Linked DNA regions of Saccharomyces cerevisiae S288C. Changing the gene in region 1 together with any one later gene gives a genetic interaction. Each region holds a gene or a part of one and is shown on either strand. Other genes may lie near its edges.

Evidence for each region.
Region 2: mutations in TUF1 (region 1) and FMP48 together harm fitness more than expected from each alone (negative genetic interaction), as found in Saccharomyces cerevisiae (one large-scale study listed by BioGRID).
Region 3: mutations in TUF1 (region 1) and CLU1 together harm fitness less than expected from each alone (positive genetic interaction), as found in Saccharomyces cerevisiae (one large-scale study listed by BioGRID).
Region 4: mutations in TUF1 (region 1) and EMC10 together harm fitness more than expected from each alone (negative genetic interaction), as found in Saccharomyces cerevisiae (one large-scale study listed by BioGRID).

Annotation. Positions count from the first base shown.
Region 1 is NC_001147.6:682,136-685,898, reverse strand, and holds TUF1 (translation elongation factor Tu), read right to left. Parts: upstream 1,870-3,763; coding exon 556-1,869; downstream 1-555. Other genes in the region: MSB1 (Msb1p), read right to left, coding at 1-132; YOR186W (uncharacterized protein), read right to left, coding at 2,354-2,788. UniProt on the Saccharomyces cerevisiae protein: G-protein that, in its active GTP-bound form, binds to and delivers aminoacyl-tRNA to the A-site of ribosomes during protein biosynthesis.
Region 2 is NC_001139.9:591,788-595,259, forward strand, and holds FMP48 (protein kinase FMP48), read left to right. Parts: upstream 1-1,808; coding exon 1,809-2,918; downstream 2,919-3,472. Other genes in the region: SCM4 (Scm4p), read left to right, coding at 1-90; YGR050C (uncharacterized protein), read right to left, coding at 299-655; MCO32 (Mco32p), read right to left, coding at 3,199-3,472.
Region 3 is NC_001145.3:289,480-295,478, forward strand, and holds CLU1 (translation initiation factor 3 subunit CLU1), read left to right. Parts: upstream 1-1,654; coding exon 1,655-5,488; downstream 5,489-5,999. Other genes in the region: hexose transporter HXT2, read left to right, coding at 1-225; SEC59 (dolichol kinase), read right to left, coding at 5,700-5,999. UniProt on the Saccharomyces cerevisiae protein: mRNA-binding protein involved in proper cytoplasmic distribution of mitochondria.
Region 4 is NC_001136.10:564,457-567,593, forward strand, and holds EMC10 (Emc10p), read right to left. Parts: upstream 1,185-3,137; coding exon 567-1,184; downstream 1-566. Other genes in the region: PST1 (Pst1p), read left to right, coding at 1-405; YOS9 (Yos9p), read left to right, coding at 1,471-3,099. UniProt on the Saccharomyces cerevisiae protein: Part of the endoplasmic reticulum membrane protein complex (EMC) that enables the energy-independent insertion into endoplasmic reticulum membranes of newly synthesized membrane proteins.

The DNA.
Region 1 (3,763 bases):
TACATTTTTCTCATTATTCTGATTTTTGTTTGGACTTAGATTTGTTTTCTGAGCTTTTTTTGGTGAATTGGATCGACTTTTCCTGATCTCAGCAGTCGGTGGAGTTGGGAGAGGTTTTGCCATATCGTTCATAACCAATACTATCCTAATACGAATACCCTTTTGCCATGTAAAGAAAACTTTTATAGAAGCAGCCTCTTGCCTCAAAATTCCCAAGCGATGACTTTTGGCGGTTTCAAGTTGTCATCATTTGCGAATGTTTCGTTTTTTTGTATTTTTCTTTGCTTTTTTCGTAGGAATACGCCGGAAAGTAAACAAATCAACAAAAACGCATTCAAAAACGCCTTGATATCTTTTACATATACATAAGAACACGTCCTTGGTGTGTGCACATGAAATTGTAAAATCTAGTGCTAGCAGGACTCTACCAAAAGTAAAGCTGAAAAATTTATGGCACTTTATTTACACGTATAAAATTTTAACGAAACAAGTATATATTATGAGAGGGGAAATGAACAGAATATATAGAAATATACTCCAGTTGCATCAATAAGTCTATTCAATAATACGTGTGATTAGACCGGTACCAACAGTTCTTCCACCCTCTCTGATATTGAAACGTTGACCAACTTCTAATGGGGTAGGATGGATCAAATCACATTCCATTTCAACATTGTCACCTGGCATAACTTGCATAGAATGATCTTCAACCTCCTTAGGAAATCTCATCACAACTGTAACATCAGCTGTTCTTATAAACATTTGTGGTCTGTAGTTTTCACCAAACCCAGAATGTCTACCACCTTCCTCTTTGGATAAAATGTACAAAGAGGCTAGAATCTTTGTATGGGCTTTAACGGTACCTGGCTTAGCTAAGACCATACCTCTCTTCAATTGATCTCTCCTGATACCTCTAAGTAAAACACCGGCATTGTCACCTGCCATAGCAGAGTCCAATTCCTTTCTAAACATTTCAATACCAGTAACTGTTGTTTTCAATGGGGTGGAGTTGTGACCAACAATTTCCAATTCCTCACCTTTCTTTAAATTACCCCTTTCCACACGACCAGTGACCACAGTACCTCTACCGGAGATAGAGAAGATATCTTCAACGGGCATCAAGAAAGGCTTGTTCAAATCTCTTTCAGGTGTAGGAATATACTCATCCACTGCATCCAAAAGTTTCATGATGGCCTGCTCCCCAATTTCAGGTTGGCGACCTTCCAAAGCGCAAAGGGCAGAACCCATGATAATTGGAGCATTATCACCGTCAAACCCATATTCGTTTAAAAGTTCTCTCATTTCCATTTCGACTAACTCTAACATTTCTGGATCATCAATGGTATCAACCTTGTTAACAAAAACGACAATATGTTGGACACCAACTTGTCTGGCCAAAAGTAAATGTTCTCTAGTTTGGGGCATTTGTCCATCGGTAGCAGCTACAACAATGATAGCACCATCCATTTGAGCAGCACCGGTAATCATATTCTTGATGTAATCAGCGTGGCCTGGACAGTCGACGTGAGAATAATGTCTCTTGGCCGTTTCGTATTCCACGTGTGCAGTAGAAATTGTAATACCACGAGCTCTTTCTTCCGGAGCCTTATCGATGGCAGCATAGTCCAAGAAGTTGGCACCACCTTTTGCGGCTAACGTTTTCGTAATGGCTGCGGTTAAAGTTGTCTTCCCATGATCAACATGGCCGATCGTACCTATATTTACATGCGGTTTGGAACGATCAAAAGCAGCTGCATAGGAAGTAGTAGTTTGAGAAAAGGTCCTAGAAATTACTGAAGAGAGCCTCAGAAGTTTCCCAGAAGCTTTAAAAGCTGTTCTTGTGAGTAATCTTGGTAATAAAGCTGACATTTTTGTCTGTTACCTTTGTCGAGCTAGAATAAAACTGAAAGCACAAAATAGTTTACAACAAAGAAGCTCAAATTTTTTCAGCTTAATCAGTTTCAAAGATAAAAATGACCAAAAATAGGAAAATCTGTAACCAGTTAGCAGCAAAAGGGAGGAAAGCCTGGTCGCGAAAGGATATATTGACTGAGGTCGGATGGGTGCTAAAACAAAATCCTTAAAAATATGAAAAATCAGCTCCAGCGCGGGTTAGTGGGAAACTGACCAATCAATGGGCAGCCTGTCAATTTCAATGCGGGTAACAGGGTTGTCAGTATAATAGACCCAACTTACTGCTTTATGTTTATGTATATGTATATATCAGAGACCTAATCGAGAATAGAGAAGTGCTCACATATTGCATAAATTGAAAAGTCCTCCAGAGGCGAAGTATATAAACTAAATGTTTTAAATGAGAAAAGCAGCTTCTTTTCCTTTCTTCCACGTAGTACTAAATCATGTCGGAAAGCGATAATTGCTTTTCTTCGTCGTCAATATTACTGGATGGCACAACTTCCGTGGCTTTGTTTTCATTTTCTCCAGGATATCGCGATGTTAGCACAAGCGTGATACAAAGTAGTAAGCAGGCGATGAAGAGACCAAATATGAACCAGGAAAAAGCCATACAGACCAGCTGCAACCTGAATTCTTCCGTCGTCAGATCGTGAGGAATATTTTTATCTTGGAATATGGACGCTGCGTCTTCTGGTCGCGAGTTACCCATTAATCCTAGCTTAATGCTGTTGCCGAAGGCTCGTATGGCGGACTTAAAGTAACCCTTCTCGAAAGGGTGATGCTCATCGCACAGTATCATGACTTTAGAATCTTCATTCGTGGACGAATTGTTTATCTTGGAAATAGCGAAGGTCGTAAAAGCCAAAGTCATCAATAAGATCTGTTACGTAGTATTTGAGAGAAGGAGTAAACTAACCTTGAATTGAGGTCTTGATTACAAGTTGCTTGCTTAGTGACACATTTGACAAGAAAAAACAGTAATACGCCAGAACATTTGCGGCCCCTTTTTATATCAAAAGTGCTAAACATGCTATTTAAGTATTTCTTTTGCTGTTGATACGCAATTTTCATTGCGCTGCTGCAGATGTGGTACCCTTTACCGCACAAAAATACTTCTATCTGGATATTATTCCGTGTACTTGGCGAAGAAGCCATCCCGTTTTGAACGCCATTGCCGCTAACCTCCGCGCTTTCGCTTGCAGCAATGGCTACATCCGCACGGTTCCGCTATTGCCACGACATTGTGGTGGTAATAGCCAAGGCAATGGTGTGTACAACTTACGATCCCTCTGCTTGCGGAAGCAGTCAAAAGGCAAGTGAGATCTACTCTATAAACTGACACTTTATCCAGGGAATTATCGAGAAAATTCTGTCTTGTCAATTAGAGAAGTAAGGGGCCACAGGGAAATAATACTTTCGAAGGGAGTTTCTTTCCTTAAGGAGGTGCAAAATGCAAAAGATATACAGTTTATAGGTTGATACACATAGAGCAAGTGGTCTCAAGTGGTCTTAATGAGTCACGGGAGGTCAAGATGCTCTTTTTTTCTTCATCGTTTCAGTTTTGTATCTTGAGCGGAGTGAACTTGCCCTTTAAGCGGGCCATACCCTTACATGGCGTTAGCACTTATTTTCAAGGTGAATATATACAATGTCAGTTACCCGTTTTTTTGTCTTCCGCTGTATAAGCTTGCTATCATTAAAAGCCGCATGTGGCATCCTGAATTCTGCCACCCCTTAAATACAAAAAATAGTGTAAATGGTACTTGATCTCTTCTGGAGGAATAAACAATAATTCTTGATGGAATTTGAGAGAAAGTAAGTGTTCGGCTAAGCACAATAAAGATAT
Region 2 (3,472 bases), on another chromosome or scaffold:
CACTCATACATGTCATTGCACATGAGCATTGTAACCGGTATAACAATTTTTACCTTTGGTAAGTGTATCCTAGATGGATTCAAAGCATGAACGACGAAGCACGTGACACGTTCCCTTCAAACATCACAATTATTTAAGCGAGACTAATATATATGTTTAGCGAAAAAAAAGGCCAAAAAAACTAGTAAATATACAAAGCAGAGTATTTTTGGCTCTTGTCCACATTGGATAAGAGAATATTTATTTTTCACACAGAAAAAAAAGTTATATACGTATCTCTAAGAAAGTCAAAGACAAATTACGTAGAATGTGATTCATTCCCATTTCGCCCGTACACTCTCTGTCTCTGTCTCTGTCCCAAACTTCCCTTCCTATACGTATTCATAATCTGCTTAAACGTCAACAGTAGTTTCGGAACATCTTCATACGTAGGGAATACGACTTTTTTCTTTTCACCTGCAGCTTGAGCCAAACTAAAACTGGGATCCGGATAAACTATTAATAAAGGATCGCAAAGTCCATACGCCAGTTTAATGGGAATGAAATGATATTGCGAAGTGACGTCAAGAATCGACTTTAAGCTATATCCGAAGTCAAGAAAGCCGAACCTTACATGCGGTCGGAAAGCAAACGAGGAGATTAGATTGGTTTTCATATCCGCTAAATTTTCTTTTGATTTTACTTTGGCTTAATCTAATGCATGTATATCGGAAGAAGCAACCGATCTGGCCCAGTTGAGTCGTGCTACCTTAGTCATGCCCAGGAAAACCGGATTCCTTCTTTTCATTATGACATCCGTTTAGGTCAATAGGCTTTTTTTTCTCTCGCCCGTGCCTCTCCGTGTTCGATGAATGTGCAGCTTGCCTCCGAGCGGGCGAGCCACCTCGAGCGGGTGACGAAATAGTGGAAAAGAAACGGGGAAGCAAAACTGTGCTGTTCTGGCCCGCAGCGGACGAACGTCATTAAAGGCGCTCCATTTCTGTCGTGAGGGTCTTTCGGTGCGGTGGTGAGGCTGCGTAAACAAGCTTGCTCTTCATACCCCTCCCGTGGAGCTAGTTCGGAAGGACTATTGGCGCATCTTCTGTTGAGAGGTTCCGTAATTCTCCGTAACGTCCCGTTCACCACTTTGCATGTGCTCTCACGTACGGCCGTCTCTTTTCGGCCTTCGGCCCGTTCCGATTTTTGTACCCCTTACGTGCTTTGAATTCTAGAAGGCATCTCCTCTCCGATGGCTTGGTACAGGGAGCACTAGGGAAATTGCACATGGAAGTATCTGGAATACAAAGTTTTTGAAAAGAAAAGCCGAGCGTAATATTGGGACAATACCCAGTTCTCAGCCTTTTCAGCGCGGGTATGAGACAGCTTGCAACAGGTAAAAGGAAGTTAGAAGGGTTAGGTGAAGGGAACGATGATGCTGCCTGAGAACAAAAATGCAGCTTCATGTTACATACAATAAAGGAAGGATAATTAAGGGGACCATGCAATAAGGGACAACTTAATTTTGGAAAAATCGGAGCTTAGTTGCATCTACCTACTAATACTTTCCCCAAAGAATAATAATACGAGTACAATACATATATATATATATATATAATATACACATGTAAGTGATGACTATTCTTAATACAAAAAAATTTCCCTTTTATAATAACTATTCTTAGCATTAAATAACCCGTTACTGACAAAAAGCATATAACATAGGACTCAAGATCGACTCTCATACCCTCCGAATCAAATTCTCACTCGTATACGCAATCATTTAAATAAGCACATCATTATCAGCATATACCGAATAATAAAAAGCAAAAATGTATACAAAACTAAGATCTATACAATCAGGAACATTTAGCACAGTTTATAAAGCATGGAGTACTACACATAACCGCTACGTCGCTTTAAAGATTACTCCTAAATACAAAACTTCAGAAGCCAACATGAAGAACGAGTATGATGTAATGAAGATTTTGAGTTCTTGTAATCCTCACCCCAACATCTGTTCGATGCTCGACTTTTACACGGATGACTCGTACTACATCATGGTGCTAGAATACTGCGAATGTGGTGATCTTTATGACTTTCTAGATATTGCTAAGAGTCAAGGTAGCCCGTCGTCTCCATCTTTGATTCAAATTGATATGCAAAAGATAATCAAACAACTGTGCTCAGCAATCAGCTTTGCTCACAGCTTGGGTATTGCTCATCGTGATATCAAACCAGAAAATATTTTGCTAACGATAAATGGTGACATCAAGTTGGCAGACTGGGGTCACGCTATCCAATCCCCTAAATCTAACGACTTCCAGATTGGTACCGATAATTACAGGGCGCCAGAAACTTTCTCTGGCCGCGTTAGTAACTCTTGTTTTAAGAAGAATTTCGATCGGTCATCGGCTCCATTGTATAACACATACCAAGCTGACTATTGGTCATTGGGTGCCACCATATTTTATCTGATGTTCGGCGATTGCCTTTTTAGAGTCTCCAAATCAAAGAAGGTTCAGCATCTAAAAAATTTCGATGAGTTTGAAAAAGATCCATTTGCATTCATTTACAGGAAATACGTAGTACCAAGGCTCTCCTGTGGTTACAATGATGAAGAAGACCTACACGTTAGCCTGCAGCATACGAGGCAGTACATATGGCAAGATCTACCCGACATTTATGATGTCTTCCATTTGTGCAAGATTATGGTTGATACCTTATTAAAGGTATCGAACGCTAAAGAGAGGTCGATGGAGAATTTCATCAATGAAGTTGATTCTGCATGGAACAAAGATAGCTCGATGGACAGCTGCTTCTCGTACCAAAATAAGATTGATCTGTTTTGGGAACAGTGGTCTGTGAACACGGAAACAGTACCAGCAAAGTTCCAATTGAAAAATTTTGAGAAACCTTGCCTAATTCAAGATGGAAAATAAGAAGTAAAAAAGACCTTTTGAAAGTTTCGCCTCATTTTCCTTGATCTGACTTTTTATCCCCTGCTTATCCAATTTTAGTTAGGAACTTTGGCATAATTTCAGTATTACATACTACCTAATCGACATAAAATAATATTACATATTCATTTTTTTAAAAAATAATCATAATCAATTTATCCTTTTTATTCCTTTTTTCTCCTGTGCAAGGTTGATGGTGATGTTTATGATGGTGTGTTTATTATTTACAAATAAAGATGCTATCTAATTCTTGTATATCGTATTAACATGCAAATGCACCGCGAGTGGCAATTTTCTTCTCGTAATGGATCAGTTCAACATCTTCAATGGTATGAACCAGAATTTTCGAATTTTCTTCGTTAAATTCGAATATGAATGTTCCCTTAATCAGCCGGGATAATCTCTTTTTTTTACTTCTTTTACCGTCGCCATCATTTTTCTTCTTCTCATCTTCTTTGGAATTTTGAGTTTCGTTGACCTTATTTTCCATTGACCTTTCAGCTGCATTTTCAAGGTACTCAGAGATAACACTTTGG
Region 3 (5,999 bases), on another chromosome or scaffold:
TTCTTGATTGGTTTCTTCACTCCCTTCATTACAAGTGCAATTGGATTTTCATACGGGTATGTCTTCATGGGCTGTTTGGTATTTTCATTCTTCTACGTGTTTTTCTTTGTCTGTGAAACCAAGGGCTTAACATTAGAGGAAGTTAATGAAATGTATGTTGAAGGTGTCAAACCATGGAAATCTGGTAGCTGGATCTCAAAAGAAAAAAGAGTTTCCGAGGAATAAGAGATTATACTTAAACTAGCACTGATTTTTTTAAGGCTAATGGCTACTAATACTTTAATAGATGATCTTCATACTTTTTTATTTAACGATTTTTAATGATGTTTTTATTTGTACCACTCATTTATCTAGATTTTTTTAATACTGATCAAATCTTACGGACTCGACGTTAAAAAGTTCCTACATACGTCTGGTACTTGAAACGCTGCTTCGAGGTATTGACACTATAAGAATACGATCCAAATACTTACACCGCATGTAAAAATATGCCGACAATATGAATACTTGTTGATGAATGATATTTGATTTTAATCCGGCAATTTACCTCCTTTATATAATCCAATAATTGTTGATAATTAGTGGTTAGGTTGCAGTACTAATAAGAATTAAGACAAATATTCTTCTACTATATAAAAGGTGCAAACAAAACACACGCCGATCGGCCATACTAAACAAGACCAACATAATAATGGTGGAACCATTTACTGTATTTTCAATGTAACGACTCATATCCTTATACATGAGACGTCAAGTTTCTCGTTGAAGTAATAATGAATCTTTAACTTTACTGTGCCACATATCACGTAATCATATATTGTTTTTCGCCTTCAAGCATCAATGGCGTATTGTGGCTGATTACTTCATATGATCACTAATTAACTAATTATGAAAAATAATAAATAAGTCACCAACCAAGCAAGGAAATTAGCTTCAAGTAAACAGTTGGTTCTTTCTGGCGAGTTAGAACAAAATTAAACAATAATCTATCGACTAGCATTCATATCACCAATATATCGTCATATACAGCGAAATGATTGCATTTACTGGATTGAATGGATACACTTTGAAGATGAACCTTTATCATAGTTGAAATGGGATAGCTGAGAAACTTGTGCATGATTTGATGATTGTTTGGGTTCAACCGTTGGGGATAAGGACTATAATATTAGGTACACAGAAATTCCAAATATATAAGTAGCAGTGCTTTATGAAACTATAATGTCAGAGTAGTTATGTAAAAATAGAACAATTGATATGATCGTTTCTTTAATAACTCGATAAGGAGTTCTCTACGAAAAATATCAACAGTGAAATATAATCCGATATAGTGTAACGGCTATCACATCACGCTTTCACCGTGGAGACCGGGGTTCGACTCCCCGTAGCGGAGTTTTCTTTTTGAAGAAATTTGAAAATTTTTTTCTTCACGTCGACCAAGGTTTTTTCCGGTCAAACATGGCCAATAAAACGGATACCATTTCTTGGAAATTATACGCTTCGAAGTATTCTCAAAAAAGGAAATTGTCTGCAGTGAAGATTGGATATAAGGTTCACTAAACACAGAGTAGTAATTGAGCTGTAATTTGTTTACAGAACGAATCAAATCAGCGTAGTGTTACAGTTTATCTGAGACTGCATATCTTTAATCTCTATGAGCGAGAAAAAAGAAGAAGTTAAAAACGCCACCGTTAAGGTGACTGTCAAACTTCCAAAAGAAGATAACCATTCGCATAATACGAAACATCTCAAAAAGACCCAAAGTTCAAAAAATAATGATATATCTTTTGAAATCGGCAAGGAATCCAAAATTCAAACTGTTCTAGATGTGTTGGCTATGATTCCAAGTTCCAAGTACCTGACAAACGTTGGGCTGAAAACAATTGAAGGTGACTCCCAGCTATCTGATGAAATGTCTATAAAGGAAATTGTTGGTGAGAAAAGCGAGTTAAAACTTCAATTGATACTGAAGCCATATAGCGCAAGAGAGGCTTTGAAACATGTGATTACTGTTCGCGATTTCATCGGATTTGCCCAAGAAACCTCAGATGGATTATCTGAATTTGCTATTTCTACTGGTTCAAGCTTTTCCTCGTTACCGTTGGGTCCTATCAAGGAACGCTCAAAACAAGAAGAAAAAGACGAGAAGAGCGATCCAGAAGAAAAGAAAAATACTTTCAAAGATGTGACTGACGAGGAAAAACTAAAATTTAACGAGATGGTTCACGAAGTGTTTTCTAGCTTTAAGAATTCTTCAATTAACAAACTTCTCACCTCTGAATCCAACATCATCACGCCGTGCGTCAGGTCTTTGAGTTTCGCACCTTACAATCCTGTACCTCCATTTTATAGAAGTAAAGGTCATCTATTTTACCTACAAATTGTCACTTTGGAAGGTGAGAGTTTCTATATCACTGCAATTCCATCTGGATTCTATGTCAATAAATCAAACTCAACTAAGTTCGATCCTTCTCCAAAAGAAAACACTGACGAGAACGCGCACTCATCCCTGATCTATTACAGTCTATTTGACTTGATTGCTTCTCGCTCTAAAAAATTCATTTCTCATGTCCAAGCATTCGAGAAAAAACTATCTGCTTTAGATTCTACAAGCTATGTAAGACCAAGCAATACTTTCTTGCATAAACCATGGTTTGTTTCTTCATTGCCACCAAATAACCCAGATTATCTGAGGTTACAAACTGCCGCCTTGGATACCACGCCAGAAAGAAACTTTAATGATGAATTTCAAGCCATTAAAGATTTGACTACGTCAACATTACAAGATCGTATTGAAATGGAAAGGTTGTTTTCTAAAGTTGTACATGAATTTTCTGTTACTGCAGCATCAGGCGCTATGTCAATTTTTTACAGTGATTTCGTTGCAATGAACCCAGAATCTCCAACTCGGGATCAAATTTTCTTAAAAGACAATATCTTTTATTCCTATGTTTCCGACGTTAGTGGCAATTATGAAGGGAAAGGTGGGGATGAAGCTGCAATCGCTGCTTCCAACCAAGACTTGAAGACAATCAATATTTTGAATCGCTTGCATATGCACGAAGTTCGTTATCTTTTAACAACTGTAGTCGAATTTGCAGGCAGAAGAATTTTGGCTCAAACTCCAGTACCTGGACTCTTAGCTACCATGGGTAACAAAATTGTAAAAGATGCTAATACCGGCGAAGAGGTTACCGAAGATTTTGTCAATGATATTAATGTAAAGTACGGCCTTGATGAAGGTTTGGGAAAGATTGTTTATGATGCTGACTTTGATTCTGTTTTAGAAAAAAAGTTTGTCAAGGCATTCCATTTGAAAAAGCACAAAGTCAACGGTACTGAATTAGCATTTTCATCGCAATCCAAGGGAATAGTTGGATTCGATAAGAGGCGCTATATTTTGGATTTAGCCAACACGTATCCCTTGGACATCAACTTTGCTAGACAAAACTTTGACAACATCGAAGAGACTGGAAACCGTTACCCACACAGGCAAACTTTGTTACGTCCGGAGTTAGTAGAAAAGTGGTGGAATAATAAAGTTGAGAAGGAAGGTGTTGAATTTGAAAAGGCCTATGAAGAAAATTTGTTTAGTTATAACCCTGATGCTTACCAGGTCGAAGGTATTGAGGACGCTAATGTTGACGAAATGTCGAACTACTTACAAAAAGAAGTTATTCCCAGCGTTATTCAAGATTATTTATCTGGAAATTTGAGCACTCCTTATAATGGTGAACATTTAGCCGATACTTTACATAAGAATGGTATCAACATGCGTTACTTGGGTAAAATTATCGAGCTTTCTCAAAAGGAATTGGACTCCCAAATTGTCCACTACGAACAAAATTTGAAAGCTGTTGAACAAGACAACAAAGAATATGAGGATTGGGAAAAATCTTATCTGCAAAAAATTGAGAACATGATTAAAGAGAGACAAGCCAAGATTAATAAGCTGGTACAAGAAGGCAAAGAGGTTCCAAAAGAACTAACTGAAGATTTGAAATTAAACGATGAAGAAATCAAAAAGCCCACCGATGGAAAACCTGTGGTCGTTGCCTATGATGAGCTAGTGCCATTAATTAAAATTTCCGAATTAGAAATTGTTTCGCGTTCTTTGAAACATGTTTTAAAAGATTTGAGTAAAGATGTTCCGGTCTTCTTGGTTCCATCACTGGTAGCATACGTTTTCAATATGTTAGTTGGTATCAACTACAATGCTGATCCGAAGCCAGAACCAGTCGACGAATTTTATCCAGTCAATAAGTGCTCATTTGCTAAATTAACACGCTCCGAATTGCTGGAAGCTGTCTCTAAACAAGCCTTCTTGCGTTTCCGTCATCAATTACCATCCAATTGGATCGAAGCTTACATGGAAAATCCTTTCACCCTCATTAGAAGTGTTTCTTACAAATTTGGTATTCAATTGCTCAATAAAGAATACTTCTTTACTAGAGAACAATTGGAAAGTTATAAGCAAAGTCTTGACAAGAAAATTAGGAACAAGTTTGTCGAACCACCAACTACCTTCAGTTTAAGCGATTTGACCATTATTCCACGTGTTAAGTTCTCAGAATATACTTCTTCAGTTAGTGAGGAATTTTGGGCTCAAGGTGCTTCTATGATCAACGAAGACAAACAAAGTGCTTTGACTTTACTCGCTCAATCAATTACAGTCTTAGAAGATGTTAACAATATTTTACATCCCGCCGTTGCTGAAAAGTACTTGTCATTATCTGCCATTTATAATAAGTTAGCATTATACCCTGAAGCTATCGCGTTCTGTCGTAAAGCATGTACTATTTATGAAAGAGTTAGCGGTATTGATTCTTTTGAAATGATGAGGGCTTTAACTAATTTAGCAATTCTAGAATTCTCTAATGAAAGTCCTTATAACGCTACTGTGGTTTATAATAGGCTCGCAGAAATCCTAAAAGTTTATGAGTTACCAAAAATCCATCACCCAGCCCCCACAAGCATTTTCAACCATTTGGAACAATTAGCCCTAGGTGTTCAAGATACCAAATTGGCTATTGAAGTCTTGGGACAACTAAGCTCCTATGTTGTGGAATTAGAAGGCAAAGATTCATTAGCATATGGCTATACCGAGTCACGTTTAGGTAATTTGTTTGCAGCATTGAAGGATTTCCACCGTGCATTAGAGCACATCACTGTAACCCAAGGGATTTTCACCAAGCAATTGGGTATGAATCACACGCACTCAGCCCAATCAAGACAGTGGGTTAATGGTTTAAGCTCATTAATAATGGATTTAAAACAAAAGAAGCAACTTGCACAAGATCAAATGTCGACAACGGGATCAAATTCAGCTGGCCATAAAAAAACCAATCACCGTCAAAAGAAGGATGACGTTAAACCTGAATTGGCTAACAAAAGTGTGGATGAGTTGTTAACATTTATAGAAGGCGATTCTTCCAACTCTAAGAGCAAAAACAAAACCAACAATAAAAAGAAGCATGGTAAGAAATAGAGAGCTAACTTAACAATCTCGTTTATTTATTATTTTTCTTTATATCTATAGCCCATACTTGTATATACTACGTGTAAGTACTAGATATAAAACGAAAAAAAAATACTTACAATTATTTTTTTTTCTTTACTGCTCTATTCTTTTCTTTATTCTATTCATAAATGCAAACAATTAGTTATGTAATTTTAAAAGTTGAAAATAATTGACTTTGTCAAAGAGTAATTAATTTTTCACAAATCATCATAAATGCAGGTATCAAAATATTGTCATTAAGCACACTATTACCTTCTAGCACTCCACTCAGTGTACAAAGGGTAAGCAATTGTAAAGTAGTTAGGTGGTTAAAAATTGCAGCTTTATCAAAACGTAACAATACCAAACAAACGATAAAACTCGTTACTATAAACGCAAGAGTTCCCTCTAAAGTTTTTTGTGTACCTTTCCAACGAATGCGGCCATACCTTTTACCAATAATAGATGCTAAGGAATCACCAATTCCCAATCCTATTAG
Region 4 (3,137 bases), on another chromosome or scaffold:
CTAGACTCTTTGAAGTCTGTCAAGGGTGGCGCAGATGTCGAATCAAAGTCAAGCAATTTCTCCTGTAATGCTTTGAAAGCTTTGCAAAAGAAAGGGGGTATCAAGGGTGAATCTTTTGTCTGCAAAAATGGTGCATCATCCACATCTGTTAAACTATCGTCCACTTCCAAATCTCAATCAAGCCAAACTACTGCCAAGGTTTCCAAGTCATCTTCTAAGGCCGAGGAAAAGAAGTTCACTTCTGGCGATATCAAGGCTGCTGCTTCTGCCTCTAGTGTTTCTAGTTCTGGCGCTTCCAGCTCTAGCTCTAAGAGTTCCAAAGGCAATGCCGCTATCATGGCACCAATTGGCCAAACAACCCCTTTGGTCGGTCTTTTGACGGCAATCATCATGTCTATAATGTAATGGAATGAAGAAATATTCTTCATTTTTGATAACTAGTACCTGTCATTCACGACATGTGAACAAATAAAAACATTTATTTAAAAATTTTATGTATTCAAATATTTTCGGGAAAGAGATAAAAGTAACGACACTTAAAAATTTAAAAAATCACAATACTTTATTTACTCAGTCTTTTGATCAGCTCCGGCACCTCCTTGTTGTTGCTTCTTTGCTGAGCCCGCAACAAAATTGTAAATCAATAGGCCTAAAAGTAACATTTTCCAGTTCTTTTGAAACCAAGACACCTCCTTAACCTCTTCATCTTCTTCGAATTGTGCAGTGCTTCCATCCTTATTCTTACTAGCTTTTTTATCAGCATAAGTTTTGGTTTTCTTCTTTAATTTGGTGACTGGTGCAGTAGGTCCCGCTTCTGGATATCTGACTGTAGCAGTAATAGCATCGTTAGTCTCGTCATATGATAACGACACTTGTTTGACCTCATTATCTTCATCTACATCCACAATTAAATCGTATTTTAGTGGTGTCCTCAGCTTCATGTAGCTAAAACATGGCATATCCAGCTTACCTTCAATCTGGGCATTCAAACAGTATTCTCCAGAAACTTCAACATCCTGTATATTAACGGTTGTTACTGTAACATTCCCATCGGATGTACTATCAATCTCAAATGTTCCTAGGGGTATAGCGTCTTTCGCATCATCTGAATAGCTTAATTGTAAAATATCAGCACAGAAAACCATGCTGGCCAATAAAATCACACGCAACAGCCGCACAAGCATCTTTCCTTCAATGAGTATTGTACAGTTCTTGTTAGATAGTGTTGAATAGTACCACCTTGTTTTTTTACTCAAAGTGTCTTTTATATACTTCTAATTATTCCTATATTTGGTTGGGTTTTTAAGTTACCAATGCAAATACAGTGGTTAGAGACCCAGCGCACGTATGCAAAAAAATACAGCGGAAATTTCAAGTAAAAATGTAGCTTCATAAAAAAGAAGCAGATTCCCTAAAATAAGCAATAGATCTTCACATATATCGTTATCATCCCCTTTCTTCCCTGTTTCAATGCAAGCTAAAATTATATATGCTCTGAGCGCAATTTCTGCGTTGATTCCGTTAGGATCATCACTATTAGCACCTATAGAAGACCCCATAGTATCGAATAAGTACCTCATATCTTACATCGATGAGGACGACTGGAGTGATAGGATATTACAAAATCAGTCTGTCATGAACTCGGGATATATAGTGAATATGGGCGACGACCTTGAATGCTTTATTCAAAATGCAAGCACTCAATTGAATGATGTATTGGAAGACTCAAATGAGCATAGCAATAGTGAAAAGACAGCATTATTAACTAAAACCCTGAATCAAGGTGTTAAGACAATTTTCGATAAATTAAATGAACGGTGCATCTTCTACCAAGCCGGATTTTGGATTTACGAGTACTGTCCTGGCATAGAATTTGTTCAGTTCCATGGTAGAGTAAATACAAAAACTGGTGAAATAGTAAATCGAGATGAATCTTTGGTCTACCGCCTGGGAAAACCAAAAGCAAATGTAGAAGAGAGAGAATTTGAACTACTTTATGACGATGTAGGATATTACATCAGCGAAATTATAGGGTCAGGTGATATTTGCGATGTGACGGGGGCTGAAAGAATGGTTGAAATACAATATGTCTGTGGCGGCTCAAACTCTGGACCATCGACTATTCAATGGGTGAGAGAAACAAAAATTTGTGTTTATGAAGCCCAAGTTACCATACCTGAATTGTGCAATTTAGAATTACTAGCCAAAAATGAAGACCAAAAGAACGCCTCACCTATACTTTGCAGGATGCCCGCAAAATCAAAAATTGGTAGTAACTCTATTGATTTAATCACCAAATATGAACCGATTTTTTTAGGTTCTGGAATATACTTTCTAAGGCCCTTTAACACCGACGAAAGAGACAAATTAATGGTTACTGACAATGCCATGTCAAATTGGGATGAGATTACGGAAACATATTACCAGAAATTTGGAAATGCCATAAACAAAATGCTTAGTTTGAGATTAGTATCGTTACCTAATGGACATATTCTCCAGCCTGGTGACTCATGTGTTTGGTTGGCGGAAGTGGTTGATATGAAAGATCGGTTTCAAACCACTTTATCGTTGAACATACTTAATTCACAGAGAGCAGAGATATTTTTCAACAAGACGTTTACATTTAATGAAGATAATGGAAACTTCCTATCATACAAAATTGGGGATCATGGCGAGTCAACTGAACTTGGTCAAATAACCCACTCAAACAAAGCAGATATAAATACCGCAGAAATTCGGTCAGATGAATACTTAATTAACACTGATAATGAGCTATTCTTGAGGATTTCTAAGGAGATAGCAGAAGTGAAAGAATTATTAAACGAAATCGTAAGTCCACATGAAATGGAAGTAATATTTGAAAACATGAGAAATCAACCGAATAATGATTTTGAACTGGCGTTGATGAACAAGTTGAAATCCTCATTAAATGATGATAACAAAGTTGAGCAGATAAACAACGCAAGGATGGATGATGATGAAAGCACTAGTCATACAACCAGAGACATCGGGGAAGCTGGATCACAAACGACAGGGAATACTGAATCGGAGGTAACAAACGTAGCAGCTGGTGTTTTCATCGAACATGATGAGCTTTAAACAAGGAGGAGTATAAACTTTTAATTTTTTTTTTTCAC